2 linked regions of the Oryzias latipes genome follow. The protein of the gene in region 2 purifies or fractionates together with the protein of the main gene of each other region. This does not show direct contact. Links are inferred from orthologs where the notes say so. Each region holds a gene or a part of one and is shown on either strand. Other genes may lie near its edges.

Region 1 (3,115 bases), on a different chromosome or scaffold from region 2:
GGGATCTCTGTTTAACGTATGCAGCTCAATCTCTACAGGTTAATAACACAGTCTGCAATGCAATTAATAAAATATGATAGAACTTTCTATGGCACTTTCTGTTGGCACGTGCAAAACTCTTTGGGCACGTGCTACAACACGCATCGCTGCCCCCAAGTGGTGGGAGGCTGCAATGACGCCCCGCGGCCACAAATTCAGGCAGACTTGACTATTGCGGTTCACTCCTACACGCACACGGACCAGGACTGGGCCACTGGGCCACTGGGCCACTGGGCCACTGAGCCGCAGCCCGATGGTTACGAGTTACTGGACTAGGAGGAGGATTTATGTGTCCCAAGTGGACGTGTTCCTGTAGCTGACCGAAAACCCATCACAGGTGAGACCAGGTGAGTCTAAAGCTGCTGAGTCATGTTTGGATCTGAAACCTCATGAAGAACTGGATCACTGGTATCGTCCGTCCACACCGGACGGACGAATCAGGAGCTGAAGAAGAGCAGAAGAAGAGCAGAGCACACCTGTGTCTATATAATAGAAATACTTTTTATTTTGTCACAGGAATAATCGTAAACAAGAGATTTAAAAATGCAGATTCCATCTGGATCTCCATTCAGATTCAAACACTAAACAAACCAGATTCTGCTGCAGTAAAACAAGTCTGCTAGATGAAGCTCAACGACACACAAACACACTCGCTCCTCTGACGCACAAACACACACACGTTCTGCATGGGCTGGGTGGGGGGGGGGCGTGTGGATGTTGAAGTCACTTCTACCTCGATGAGGCAGAGATTCTGGAAGACAAAACGGATTTAGAAACCATTAGGCTGACTGTGCACGTGTGTGCACGTATATGTCTGCATGTGTGTGCACGTATTGTGTAGGTCTGCATGTGTGTGCACGAGTGTGCGTGCATGTTTATGTCTATGTCTGTACCCGTGCGCACATTCAGGTGTGCAATGGTGTGCACATGTGTGTGTGTGCAGGTATGTGTGCATGCAGGTATGTGTGCACATGCGCATGTGTGCGCGCACATGACAGTACATGCATGTGCGTGCGTATGTGAGTGTGCATGTCTGCGTATGTGAGTGTGCATGCGTGTGCATGTGTGTGCGTGTGCATGTGAGCGCGCTCACTGCAGCTTGTCCTGCAGCAGCTCCAGCCTCTGCCGGTCCACATATCTTGAAAAGAGGGACAGCAGGTTGGGGGGGGTGAAGAGTGGAGGGGAGAGCGATGAAGAGGAGACGCTGAGCAGCTCCCTCATCACCGAGAACACCAACTCAGTCCTGGGGGGTCAAGAGGAAGAGTGTGTCAGTCAGGAAGGAGAGGAAGAGGATGTGAGGAAGAGCGGCTCACCATCGATTGTCGTCCATCAGCTGACAAACGGGGTCGGAGCTCTGCATCCGCTCGCCCTCGCTCAGGATCAGATACAGCAGCGTCACGCCGAACTGCACACGTGCGCACACACACACACACACACGCACAGGCAGAGAGGAAACGCTCAGCTGCTGGTGTCCAGAACAGAAATGGTTACTTTTAAAAAGGTTTCCTTCCTGTTTGGAGCGTTAGCATTAGCCGTTCTATGGGAAATTCCATTATGTGTTAGCATCAAGCTAGCAGACTTCTCTACTGCTGTGATGGGTTCAGTACCGGAAAAAGAAAGTCATAAAAGATCAATGTCTACTTTTATGGATCGATTATTGATCTATCCACCTTGGATCTATTCAGATGAATTGATTTTATCAACCCAGCCCTACTTTCTGCAGAAATCAGACATTTTAAGGCAATTTCATCACAAATGAAAAAGGAACAAAAACTAAAATAAAAAATATTCATAAATGATGAAAACAAGAATAAAATGAGGGGAATTTTTTAATTATTGTCTTTCAAAATAAGTAAAATATCATGAGGGCCGACAGGCGGCCTACCCACCCCGCAGCGGCGTGACAGGCTGATGACCTGTCCGGGGCGTTTCCCGCCTTCGCCCTACAGAAGCCGGACGGGCTCCAGCAACACGGCGGGTTAACGAAACGGATGGAAGTTCAGGACAAATCGCCGCCATTGGATGTATTTTACCCGCCCATCGGGTCAATGAAAAGGTCATAGACTTAACATTGAAACTGCCCGCCACTGCCGCGAAAATGGCGTTCGGCGTGAACGCAGTTTAAGGCGGAGCCTCCTCCACGCAGTTTGTCTCACCTTGTTCTGCAGCACCGTGGTCAGCTGACCCTCGCTCCCCTGCAGCTCCTGCAGCAGGTCGGTGAGGGCGGAGCTCGCCAGCGACTGAACCACCGCCGACACCGGATCCAACAGGCAGCACAGCACCTGCACAGGTGAGGAGACAGCTGCTGAGAGAGCAGGAGGGGGAGGAGCTTCAGCACGCCGCTGACCCACCCCACCCCCATGGAAAGACGGCGTGAAAGCGAACCCTGCTAACTGAAGCAGTGGGTGTGTGTGGGAGGGAGGGGCTGTCAAAAACAGAACCGCAGGTGGGGGGGGGGGCAGCCCCACCCATCTGCCAATCAAAAAGGGTTTTATTCTGTCTTTTCAGAAGCTGAACCAAAGACTCCGCCCACAAACTTCAGATTCTCCGTCCACCTCGGGTCCTTCAGAATTAGCTTAGGAAAATAAAAGCTTTGACACCCATTTTTACAAAATAAAAGTCTTGAGAGCACATCTGAAGGGGGGGTTACCTGATCCTGCTTGTCCTTCTTGGCCAAGACGGGGAGGTTGCGGGCGATCGCCATGACGACGGCAGCGGCCTGGGGTGCAGGCAGGAAGGGGAGGAGCCTACCCATGAGGCGCTTGCCTTTCCTCACCGACATGATCATCACGCACAGGTCGTCGCTCACTCTGAAAGAGAGGGTAACGTGTCAGCCACGCCCCCACCCTGCAGCCACGCCCCCTCCCCCACACACCTGTGCTCCCAGTCCTTGTCCCGCAGGGCGGCGCTCAGCTGCTCCGTGTTGGTCTTGTGCTGCTCCAACAGGGCCGAACGCTCCTCCTCGGGGGTCTGCACGAAGCGCTTCTCGAAGTCCTGGACCTCCAGCAGCAGGCTGAACATCTGCAGACGAGGGGGGGCGGGGTCAGAGCAGAGCCTCACCTGCAGACGTGCACGC
Region 2 (4,241 bases):
ACCTTATGGTTCTAATAAATATGGCAAGGGTCACTTAGCTCTAATTTTTTTTTGTTGATTTGATTTACAAATGTTGGCTGTTATGCACCTCAAATGCTAAAATATCTATTTTTAATCACTGCTGACATTACACTTCTACATTTGCTGGATTGAGAGGATCCCATGTGAAACAGGACACTTATTGAGAGGAAGTCACATGAACCTCCATCAAAAGTTTAAACTACCGGTATTTTAAAAAAAAAGCTATTTTCTCTTTATATTTTTTTATTTATGCCAAATAACAGTTCATCTATATTTATCATATTAGTATCCAAGACAAATTAGTCTTAAAAAAATAAAAAAATAAAGACTTTGACTCCTACTGGGGCGTGGTCATTGAGACATCAACCCAAATGGCTCTTTATGTGCTGAAGGTTGCAGAACCCTGCTATAGGTTAAGAAAAAAATAAATAAAAAAAAATAAAAAAGTATACGGGGTACATATAAAGATGACTGTAAAACGCATAGCTTCTCTTACACGTCACTTTATTCTAGCAGCTAATGAGGGAAATTGATCAGTATCTGAAAGATCATCCCTATAACAGAATTAACGTTTTGATTAGCCAATAGGAAGCCAGTCAAGTCACCAATAAATACTTAAATGACTAAACGCACCGCTTTCTGTGTACTTGCAGATTAAACCTTCAAAGACAAAAGATTTTTCAAGCAGGCTTTAGTAAGTGAAACTCAATTGTTTTAATGGAGAACAGGAGTGTTAGTCACTAGCAGACCCACCATCTCCAAATAAAAAGTTCACGTCATTATGATGATTGATGACAAAGTGCTGCTGTAAAAAGGCCGTCAAGTTGTAACCATTTGCTTAAACAGTTCTTACATCCCCATACAATTTAAATGAAACTATTAAGAAAAGAAAAAAAAGCAAAACAAAACAATGCAGTATTGTGCCTTACATGATTCTAGCCACAAAACAAAAGACACCCTTCAGTTAAACATAAAATCCATTTGTCTTATACAAACTAAAAGGCTTGTAAAGGGTTCAATACTCGTCCAAATTATCAGCTTTGGGTATGGAAAGGCCTCTGTCCTTCAGAGCTTGCATTTTGACTTTCTCCGTTTCCTGTTTGGCCTGCTGCTGCAACCGCTGCTCCTCCAGGATCTCCTCAATTGAAACCTGCTGCAAGACTGTGTCGCAGGGCTTATCCAAATCCTGCACAGGACACAGGAGAGTGAGGTCAAATCTTATGATCCGAAAATGTCATCAAGTTCTTTTAGGCTCTGTGCATCATTCCATGACACTAACAAAAGTTGCTAGTACTCAATGCTATGGCCTGCTCATAGTTTTGCCCAAAAAGATGCTTAAACTCCGTGGTTCAAGGACCCACGAAAAACTTGTGTGACACAAGTTCGAATGGTAAGCCACAAGCTCCCTGCACCACTCTATTCTGATGCATCCATTGTAGACAAAACGATGCATGTGCCTCTTTGTTTCCCTCATCGGAGCTGAGATCTGGCTCCAAACTATGGCTGGATAGCTCTAATATTGTTGCCGTATTCATTTCTACCACCATCATGTTAGGTTGGGGTTGTGAGGTAAACTAGCAGCAATCCTGCAATCATTTGTGTAATCATTGGTAATCTAAATTATAATTAAGAAAAAAAAAAGTAAGAAGAAGTATGCATTGTATTTATATGGAAAGAGCAAAGATTGACAATCCTCACCACTTTTCCCACCCGCTTTTCTTTTATATCATATTGAAAACCAGGAGAGAAAAATAAAAAATCTGGCTAGACCAAACAGCAAATTTGAAAAAGTTGTAAAATTAAGCCTTTTTTGTTTTTGCTAAGTAACCTTAACATGGAGGTACCTTTACAGTCAATGTGTGCGCAATTTCCTTTTTAAGCAAGTATTCATTTAGGCAGCAACTTTTCAAAAAAAAAAGTTTATAACTGTAGTAACTATATAAAGTAACAATTTACTTGCATATAAATTTAACTTGATCTTTAAATAAGAGTCACATCATTTTCTGCAGTGCGAGACCTGGATGCTTGACCACATTCAGAGTTTGATGTTTGGTGCTGTACGGAGCATCTGAGAACAAGTTCACGTAAATAAAACTTGATCCAGAAATTACATTCAAGTTTAGAACAAACTAAAAAATTGCTCTAAAACACTTACTATTTCCCCAAGCAGGACTACATTTTCTCCCCTGACGATGAAGATACCTCTGGGAATATCTCCAAATTTCTTTCCCACGTGGATACGCTCCACCGTCTGATGAAAGACTAAATTGGCTGTGGAACAAAAAAAAAAAAAAAAGAAAGAAACAAACAAATTTAGGACTATTGAAACACCGCGTAATCATATAAAAATAAAAAAATAAACCCGCATGGAAGAGTTTAGAAGATTCTCATTTTTTATTACCAAACTGATCGATGCTTCTCAGGTAACCGATTAGTGTTCTGCCATCTCGCAGCAGGACCAAGTGCTTTTCTGCGAAATTAAAAACATTTAAAAAAAATCTGCGTCCACACGGCACACGCTAATACATTGTGTCGTTTGTTTATGATTAAAAAAAGCAATTTCTATAAGGCCCAACTTACTGTCAATATCGTCAATGAGACTGGCCGTCCCTGGTACGTAATTCATGTTTAGTTGCAGTTTTCACGCGTTTAGTTGATTTCTGAACCATCAAGCCATGAATGTTTTTACCCGTTTCTATTTGACGGTGCACAGGAAGTGCTTTTATACACTTCCTGTAAACATTTAACCCCTTCCGCACCGTAATTGCGCATAGCTCGAATTTTCTAAAAATAACTGTGTAAAAATGATTTAAACAAAAGTATCATACATTTTATGATACAAAAAGAATTTTCTATAAAACATGTTTGGATTAAATGTCCCCATTTGATGATGGATGGTAACCCTTCCAACGCATGTGCCACATCAAAGATCGTAAATGAAAATTTTGAAAAGTTGCGTCACATGTTTAAAAAATACAACTGCTACAGGAGTAATTCAATAGTTGGTCTTAGCAGTAAAATATATTGAAAATAAATATCTTTAATTAAAAATATTCTAATTGTGTTCCCCGTTTCTGCGTTTTGCAATTGTAAGGTTTCATCCAGCAATTTCGATCAGAAAGTTTTAGAGAGTGACTCCTCTTTACTTGTAATGGTTCTACTCGACTTAAAGACGCAGTACCATGTCTCCAGAGTTCCGCGTCATTTATTCATTTCTTGGTTGCAATCAGGCGATCCTGACTTCTGCGGGGAAGCTGCTGCTTTGATCAGCTGTCAGATTTCTAGCGGAACCGTAAACTAGTGATAGTCTTGCTTATTTTGGAAGATGGCAAAATACGTGTAACTGATGCAGAAACCCCAAATGCAGCCAAACGGGAAAACTGGCTGGCCCTCTACTAACTCGGGAAATAGTCACGGAAGCTGCAGTAACACTATGGTAAGCGAGCAGATTAATTAAAAAAAACTTTACTGGGGGGAGGGGGTGACAGATCATATTGTGCTTTAAAGAAACAAAGATTAATTTAAAATCTCCCAACAATAAAATCCGTTTGTTCGTTCGTGCAGAAGTTCTTCGCAATGTTCATCATGCTAGCTTCATAGCTAATATAGCTAGCGGGCATTATGTAATAGTTACTGCTAGCTTATTAGTTAAGTCCTTGTTTTTAAATTACATTGACTCGAAAATATCGATTTAACACAACACTTCTGCACGTTAGGAGATCGTAGCGATCATATAGAGTTTCATGAGTTAATCATTGGTTTAGCTCAAATTATTTCATTCATTTAAACACAAGTTAACATCCATTTATTTAGTTTTCTAGAAAGACACGAGTATATGTTTATCAATGCGTTTATCATTTAAGTTTCTCAGCATCAAGTTCTCCATATCTCTATTTGAGATTTAGGATAGCTACACAAAATGGGTTGGATCACATAAAGTGAGTCGCTGTCTCGTGTCAACTTGCCTTTTACAGGATGCTCCTCAGTATCCAAGTTACCCTCCACAATACTGGTATCCGCAGTCCCACTCCACAGGGCCCTACGCAAATGCCTATCCTTCAGCGTCAGATCTGCATCCGCAGTACAATCCACAGGTACATCTCACTATACGAGCCATTCCTTTCCTTCAACATTTTAATATATTGCTCACTGTTTTGATTCTCATCAATTTCCTCATCTTTCTTTTGCACAAACACTCATAGTTGTGGTATCAAAAGTGC

The links.
Region 1: the proteins of lsm1 (region 2) and patl1 purify together in Homo sapiens (co-immunoprecipitation; 3 studies listed by BioGRID and IntAct, with this or other methods). This does not show direct contact. The link is inferred for Oryzias latipes from reciprocal best matches to the Homo sapiens genes LSM1 and PATL1.

What each region holds. Positions count from the first base shown.
Region 1 is NC_019859.2:1,009,790-1,012,904, forward strand, and holds the end of patl1 (protein PAT1 homolog 1), read right to left. Parts: intron 3,061-3,115; coding exon 2,915-3,060; intron 2,850-2,914; coding exon 2,690-2,849; intron 2,322-2,689; coding exon 2,196-2,321; intron 1,445-2,195; coding exon 1,353-1,444; intron 1,283-1,352; coding exon 1,133-1,282; intron 791-1,132; coding exon 769-790; 3' UTR 521-768; downstream 1-520. UniProt on the Homo sapiens protein: RNA-binding protein involved in deadenylation-dependent decapping of mRNAs, leading to the degradation of mRNAs. Acts as a scaffold protein that connects deadenylation and decapping machinery.
Region 2 is NC_019867.2:18,635,481-18,639,721, reverse strand, and holds lsm1 (U6 snRNA-associated Sm-like protein LSm1), read right to left. Parts: upstream 2,738-4,241; 5' UTR 2,648-2,737; coding exon 2,602-2,647; intron 2,492-2,601; coding exon 2,423-2,491; intron 2,293-2,422; coding exon 2,177-2,292; intron 1,208-2,176; coding exon 1,037-1,207; 3' UTR 509-1,036; downstream 1-508. Other genes in the region: bag4 (BAG family molecular chaperone regulator 4), read left to right, coding at 3,368-3,457, 3,996-4,115. UniProt on the Homo sapiens protein: Plays a role in the degradation of histone mRNAs, the only eukaryotic mRNAs that are not polyadenylated. Probably also part of an LSm subunits-containing complex involved in the general process of mRNA degradation.